2 linked regions of the Sus scrofa genome follow. The protein of the gene in region 2 interacts with the protein of the main gene of each other region in a pairwise test. Links are inferred from orthologs where the notes say so. Each region holds a gene or a part of one and is shown on either strand. Other genes may lie near its edges.

Region 1 (3,981 bases), on a different chromosome or scaffold from region 2:
AAGGAGCACGTCCTCTGGCCCCTCGGCTTTGCATAGACACACCCCAGAGCCCCTTCCCCGGGGCTGAACCAGCCCTTGTGTAGCTTCTGATCCTCAAATCCATGGGCATCCACTGGGCGTTGTCCCTGCTTTATGAAGAAGCAGAGTCCCAGAAAGTTGTAATAAGGCTGAAGCAGAGCTAGGATTTAAAAAAATGTATTGGGAGTTCCCGTCATGGCGCAGCAGAAATGAATCCGACTAGGAACCACGAGGTTGTGGGTTCCATCCCTGGCCTCATTCAGTGGGTTAAGGATCTGACGTTGCTGTGGGCTGTGGTGTAGGTTGCAGACTCAGCTCGGATTCTGCGTGGCTGTGGCTGTGGCGTAGGCCAGCAGCTGTAGCTCTGATTCGACCCCTAGCCCGGGAACTTCTATATGCCGCTGGTGCGGCCCTAAAAGGCAAAAAAATAAAATTAAATTAAAGAAATGTTTACTATTGTTGATTTACCATGTTCCACCGATTTCTGCTGTACAGCAAGTGCCCAGTTATACGCATACATACATTCTTTTCCCACATTATCCTCCATCAGGTTCCGTCGCAAGTGATCAGATGCAGCTCCCTGTGCTGTGCAGCAGGATCTCATTGCTTATCCACTCCCAGTGCGACCGTTTGCATCTACTAACCCCAAACCCCCAGTCCCCGCCATCCCCTCCTCTTGGCAACCACAAGTAGAACTAGGACTCGAACCAGGACTGTCAGGCAGGTAACCAGGTCTGGAGGCAGCAAGGTTGCCCAGGGCCTGAAGGATGTAGGTTAAAGGTCGTGGGAACCTTTTGTGGCTCCTCCAGGCAGGCCGAGCTGTTTTCACCTGCTCTCTGCACCCATAGGCTCACACCTTCCACTTTCCACGGGTCTTGAATTATTGATCTGCCTGATATTTAATACCCCCTGGACTTCCCTCAAGAGCTGCCTCCTAAAGCAGAGCCGTTCTTACTGTCAGCCAGGTTGGGATGCTCATCCAGGAGTGGCAGGACCAGCTTGGGGACTGCCCTGGGCTGCCAGAAGGCTGCCAGGGTGGAGAAAACACCGTTGGAGAGGAGGGACTGGACCCAAGACTGTGTCCCCCCCCACCCCTCTGTGCCCATCCTTGCCCGGAGCCCTGTGGTGCCACTGGCGGGGAGGCTGAGCGTGGGTGTCTCCATTGGTTGGGACAGCTGCCTTCCCTTCAGCCTGGGTGGAACCTCGGATGCTGGGGAGGGTGTCCCTAAGCACGGGTGGGGGCCTTGGCGTAAAGTTTGCTTGTTGCCTCTGTGAGAGTTTTTTTTTTCTTTTTTTAACTCTTAATTGAACACATTAACACCAAACGCACAGGTTATGAGGGCACACAAACTCAAGAATCCAAACAAGCCAAGCACACTGTGCAACACAGCTCCGAACAAAGGGCATCCCCCGCTCTGCACCAGCGGCCAGCGGCCTCGCCCGGGATGCCGTGTCGGCCTCTTCTACGGCTGGAGGAGCCACGCTGCAGGGAGAGACGCCCCACGTCCTGTGGGCCCGGGCGTTCGCCCCGCGGTAACTGTGCTCCAGCCCACGTGCAGCCCCAGGACCCCCACGCCCCTCGCATCCCGGGCCCCACCGCTGCCAGGTCCAGTCCCGCCCCGCCCCGTCCGGAGCCACCAACAGCCCGGGGCTACGAGGCGGGCGGGATCGCGGAGTCCCGCTGGGCGAGGGAGGACCGTCCCTGCGAGGAGCCTCGGCCGCCGCCCGTCCACCCCAGGACCCCGGGCCCTGGATAGTCCGAGGCCTTCCTCCCTGGGCGGATCCGCCCGAGTCCGGTGGGAGGAGGGGGCGGGAGGAGCCCGGAACCCGGCGCCGGAGCTCGCGTTTCTGGCCGGCGGGACCCGAGCGCTGCACCGAGCGCGCCCGGACCTCGGCCGACGGACTCAGGTCACCATGGCAACGCGGCGGGACCAGAGGCTGCTCGCGGCTGGCGTTCCGGGTGAGGCGCGGGCGCGGGCGCGGGCGGTGCAGGGCTTGGGGGACCGCAGCGCGGGAGGGCGCGGCCTCTCGGGCCACCTGTTGCGGGTGTCGTGCTTTCCTTGGAAAACCGGAGTCGTGCCGGCCCACCGTGCGTGGCTGGGTGCGCGATTGGTGCTGGCCTGCGGAGCCCTGTTCACCGAGCTAGGGCTGTTCCCTGCTCATCTGTTCCCTGCAGCGCCCGGCCGGCCGCCGGGGTCGGGGCACTGGAGGCGTTCGTGGGCGTCGCGCTTTGTTTTGGGAACTCGCGGTTCCCTAACTCGCCCCTACCAGGTGCCTGAAGAGCGGGGCGCTGCGGAGCCGAGAGGCTTTGCCGGGTTCCGCAGCGGGTTCCGCAGCCGGTTCCGCAGCCGGCGAGCTCGGGTCCAAGGCCAGGCAGGCTGGTCCAGAGTGATTCTTTGTTATTTGAGACTCACATACAAGTTGCAAAAGTCTAAATATACAGGATTTATTCAAACTCAGCAGTTATCTTGCGACGACTTTACCTGTTTACAGAATCCAAGCTAGGACCATCCGTGTTTTCTTCGTTTTCTCATTCCTTAATCTGGAGCAGTTGCCCAGTCTTTCCTTGACCTTTATGAGTCAGTTGTCTCGCAGAATGCTCCTCACTTTGGGTTTATCAAAGTTCCCTTACGATAACTTGTATTTTTGGTGAGAAAAACCTTACCAGTGGAATGGTGTTTTCTCTGCACCCTCTCAGGAGGCACATGATGCCAGTTTGTCCTATTACTTCTTTTAAAATGATTTTTATTTTTCCCGTTATAGCTGGTTTACAGTGTTCTGTCAGTTTTCTACAGCACATCAAAGAGACCCAGTCACACACACATGTGTACTTTCTTTTTGTCACATTGTCCTCCATCCTAAGTGTCTAGATGTTCCTATTACTTCTGATACTAACTTTGGTCCTTTGTCCTAGGTGATATCTACAAGGTGTTTGCATCATTAAGCTTCCATTTCCCCCTTTATCTATAGTAAATATTTTGTGGGGAGATACTCTGAAACTATGTACATAGCTTGTTTCTAACCACACTGCCAGTCATCTGGAGGTGAGCATTTTCTGAAAAAAATTATAAATGTACTTGCCAGGCGATGATATTTCCATTCACATTATTTCTTCTGCTTTTATTAGTTGGAATCTTTTTCTTTTTTTTGTCTTTTTAGGGCCACACCCTCAGCGTGTGGAGGTTCCCAGGCTAGGGGTCAAATCGGAGCTACAGCTACCGGCCTGCACCACAGCCACAGCAATGCCAGATTTGAGCCACGTCTGCAACCTACACCACAGCTCACGGCAACGCCGGATCCTTCACCCACGGAGTGAGGCCAGGGATCAAACCCAAATCCTCATGGTTCCTAGTCAGGTTCATTTCCGCTGAGCCATGACAGGAACTCCTATTAGTGGGAATTCTACCGTAAGGACGAATCTTCCATGTTTTAATTTATTCAGTTGTTTATGTTGGTGTAGACATTTTAATTCTATGTTTGTTTCACAGGTTATAATCCATTCCTATCATTTATTTTGGTGCTCTTGTTGTCCAGATCTGGCCCGTTCTGTTTGGTTTTTATGTCCTTTTACCCTGTGTCCTTGTCCCCAACAGTTTGAGCACCTCCTCATGTTTGACACCAAAAGATGTCCCAGACTCATCAGTGCTTCTTTGACCTAGGCTGGAATCAGGCATTTCTGTGAGGAGTGTTGGCTCCTTTTAGTTGAGAAGGTGTTTTCCATAAACCAAGATGTGGGGAGGTGTGCTGCTGGAGTGTCATTGCTTTTTGGCTTTCTCGGCGGGAGGAGCCGGGAGCCAGGACACTGCACGCCCTGTATATACATCTGTATCTATTTCTAGATCCACATGTCAGCGTGTGTTCAAAACTGGGTTTAGGAGTTCCCGCTGTGGCTCAGGGGTAGCGAGCCCAACGCGTATCCATGAGGATGCAGGGTCGATCCCTGGCCCCACTCGGTGGATTCAG
Region 2 (3,500 bases):
GCGGTTCCCTGGGAGTTTTAAAATCAGCTTGTCCGTCTCTGGGTAAAAGATGGTTGGAATTGTGGTAGGAACTGCACTGAGTATCTCAGTCAGCTTGAAGGGTGTTGCCGTCCTAACAGTCTTAGGTCGGCTAATTTTGAAGGTGGGGTCTCCTTCCAGTTATGTTAAGTCTTTGATTTCTTTGCAGCGGTGTTGTGTAGTCCACAGCTCTGGTTATATATGCTTCTAAGTATTTTATTCCTTTTGACACCGTCGTGAATGAAATCAGTGTCACTTTTAGACTGTTTGTTGCTAGTGTGTTTAAACACCACTGACTTTTATTTGTTGATCTTGTATCCCTAACGTTGCCGAGTTCATTGATTCATAGGATTTTTTGTGGATTATTTAGGTCTTTCTCTTTTTCTTTCTTTCTTTTTGGATAAAGGAGAAAAAGATAGCTTTATTGCTTTGCCAGGCAAAGGGGGCCCTGGCAGGCTAACCCTTTAAAGCCCGCGTGTCCTGTTTAGGATTTTCTATGTGTGCAACCGTGTCATTGAAAAAATAGGGAGTTTTGCTTCTTCCCTTCCAGGTGGGGTGGTTTTTATTTCCCTTCTTGTTAAATGGCTTCCAGTACTGTATTGAATGAGATCAGCAAGAGCAGCCGTCCTTGTCCTGCTCCTGCGCTTAGGGAAGCACCCAGGTTTTCACCGCTGGGTGTGATGGCAGCTGTGGGTTCCCCACAGACGCTGTTTATCAGGCTGAGGGAGTTCCCTCTACCCGTGGCTTGTGGAGTGTTTTCGTCATGCGAGGGTGTCGGGGTTTTCGGTTATCCTTCTGTGTCCGTGGTGTGAAGGGGTGTTTCTTCGCTGCCTTCCGCTCGGGCGCCGTCTCCTTGGATGGGTCGCCCACGTTGAACCCCCCTGGCGTTCCCGGGCTAAACCACGCTGCGCCCTGGTGTCGAACCCTTCTAAACACTGCTTTTCTGGCTCCAGTTTGTACTTATTCTGGAGTGTGGTGTGGCGAGTATAGTGGGGGGTCGTTGGGGGGTCGGGTTTGGGGAACCCATCTTTAACGCTGTCCTCGTGAACGAAAGCCGTCCGTCGTCCCTCTTCTCCCGACTGGGCGGTGAGACGCCTCGGTCCCGCCTGAGGTGCAGGCGCGAGGGGGCCTCTTCCCGGCTGTGCGCCCACCCCCCACCCCCGCCCCGGGTCATCCGGCCTCCCACGCTCGCCCTTCACCCCATGGCTGGAAATGTGGGTTATTTCCGAGTCTTTCATGTTGGTGAAGGTGCTTGTGGCTAAGTCTGCGGGACTCTCCTCATTGTCATTACGAAGACGATGCTGAGTTACGGCCACACCCACGGCACACGGAAGTTCCTGGCCCAGGGACGGAGCCCAAGCCGCAGCTGCAGCGGAGCCGCTGCAGTCGGATTCGGGAGCTCCTGCACTGCAGTGGCAACGCCTCACTGTTATTTCGTGGGGCCGCTTCTTAGAAGCACTTGCCCGGTTAAGAAAGCTGCCGGATTTTAGGGCTTCTCGTGTTCCTGAGGATTCTTGCAGAGAGGTTTGTTGGGGGGTGTGGGGTGTGCAGGGGCCAAATGCACCCTGGGTTTAGGCCTCTTTCCTCAGATGAACAGGGCTTTTCACCCACAGCGTCCCCTGCAGTACACGTGGGGCCTGGTCTCGCAGCTGCTGGTGCCGCTTGATCTTTGGCAGTGCCCTGGGTGCCTGAGGACAGTCAGGTGCGAGAAGGAACCGAATCCTGCCCGGGAGGCGTCTGAGGCCAGCTTTGTGCCCCCCGGGAGATGACGAAAATGCCTTCTTTTCCTCACCTTTCTCACCCCGGATCCGCGCCCAGCAGCTGGTGCCCCGTCCTGGAGCGGATGCCCTCGAGGCTTAGAAGGGCTTCCTCCCGAGATGGTGGCGGCTCGGAGGAGATGTGCGGGTGGTTCCTTTGTGTCGCGATTGGGCAGAGTGAAAGGTCGCCGCGCTCTGTCCTCACACCTCCTCCTCCTCCCTCTGTTCTGGTGTCCACTTGGTTTCACGGATGCCTAGAAGCCAGGGCAGCCCTGTGCACACACGCGGACACACGCGCCTTGATCGCCCGTTAGTGTCTGGGCTCCGCGTCTGCCAGGAGGCCGTGGGAGCAGGTGGTTCTGATCACAGGGTGGCTGCCAGCCCCCTCGTGGCACTAGCCTGGAGGCTGGGGAATGGCTCCCAACACCTGGCCCCTGGGGTACCCGGGTCTGTCCTGAGAGTGGGAGCCTGGTACCTATGCATGTGTGTGCACACACGCGTGTGCATATGTACCACGGGTGTGTGCGTGTGCACACGGGTGTATGTGCTGTGTGTGCGCGCGTGCACATCTATGCATGATTGTGTATCTGTGTGTATTGTGTGCACATCTGTATGCACGTGCGTAGAGGTGCACTTGTGCATGTGTGTGTGAGAGAGTGTGCACGTGTGTGCTGTACATGTGTATTTTGTGTGGGTGTGTGCACGTATGCCTGTACACATGTTGGTGTTTACATGCGTGTGCACACGTGTGCCTGGGTTTGTGCATGAGTGCATTCATATGTGCCTGTGCTCAGTGTGTGGGCGTGTTCGGGCATGTGCAATCTGTGCACGTGCATGTGGCTGCCCTTGTTCCCCTGGCCATCCCTCTCTTCCGGGCAGCGCCCAGGCATGTCGACTGGCCTCTCATGGGCCCTGGCGGCCCGTTTCTGAGTCCACACTCTGCGGTCCCCTCTGCAGGTTCTCCCACGGGCAGGTGGTCTCTGTGGACGAGCTGCGCCCTTTCCAGGACCCGGACCTGAGCTCCCTGCAGGCCGGCTCTGCGTGTCTGGCCAAGCAGCAGGATGGCCTCTGGTACCCAGCACGGATCACTGGTGAGGCTTTCCAGGGGCCTCCCTGATGGGGCTTTTCCTGGGAAGCCCTTGCACATGTCACAGTGTTAGTCCCGGGTGCCCCCTCCTGTCGTTGGGCATTGGGACCCCACTCCATGCCCAGGAGGAGCAAGGCCACCCTTGGCCTCATCCCCACCCTGTTCCCAGTGTCCAGTGTGGCTCCTACCACGAGTCAAAGCCGCTGACCTGCTGCCTTGGTGCCCCTCCAGATGTGGACAGTGGCTACTACACGGTCAAGTTTGACTCTCTGCTGTTGAAAGAGGCCGTGGTGGAAGGGGACAGCATCCTACCCCCACTGCGCACGGAGCCCACGGGGTCCTCTGACTCAGACAACAGCGACGCGGACGACCCCAGCTATGCGCGAGGTGTGGCTGCGGCTCGGGGCCCCAGAGCAGGGAGGTGGGGTGGGACTGCGTTGGCGGGAGGAAAGCCCCGCAGGCAGGCGTGGGGGGCAGGTCCGAAGCCCCACAGACGGAGAAGCCCAGAAGGCATGGGGTCCCACACGAGCCACGGGGGCAGGGGGCGCATAGGAAGGGACCGGCATGCGTGACGCGCAGAGGGCGCTCCTTCAGGGCCTGGGTGCCTGGAGGGTGGAGGAGGGGCTGTGTGCAACAGC

Evidence for each region.
Region 1: the proteins of ZGPAT (region 2) and CCDC57 interact in binary tests that used the Homo sapiens proteins (3 or more experiments, as listed by UniProt). The two-hybrid records come from large-scale screens. The link is inferred for Sus scrofa from reciprocal best matches to the Homo sapiens genes ZGPAT and CCDC57.

Annotation. Positions count from the first base shown.
Region 1 is NC_010454.4:818,153-822,133, forward strand, and holds the start of CCDC57 (coiled-coil domain-containing protein 57), read left to right. Parts: upstream 1-1,181; 5' UTR 1,182-1,353; coding exon 1,354-1,978; intron 1,979-3,981. UniProt on the Homo sapiens protein: Pleiotropic regulator of centriole duplication, mitosis, and ciliogenesis. Critical interface between centrosome and microtubule-mediated cellular processes. Centriole duplication protein required for recruitment of CEP63, CEP152, and PLK4 to the centrosome.
Region 2 is NC_010459.5:62,647,488-62,650,987, forward strand, and holds part of ZGPAT (zinc finger CCCH-type with G patch domain-containing protein), read left to right. Parts: intron 1-2,732; coding exon 2,733-2,866; intron 2,867-3,093; coding exon 3,094-3,249; intron 3,250-3,500. UniProt on the Homo sapiens protein: Transcription repressor that specifically binds the 5'-GGAG[GA]A[GA]A-3' consensus sequence. Represses transcription by recruiting the chromatin multiprotein complex NuRD to target promoters.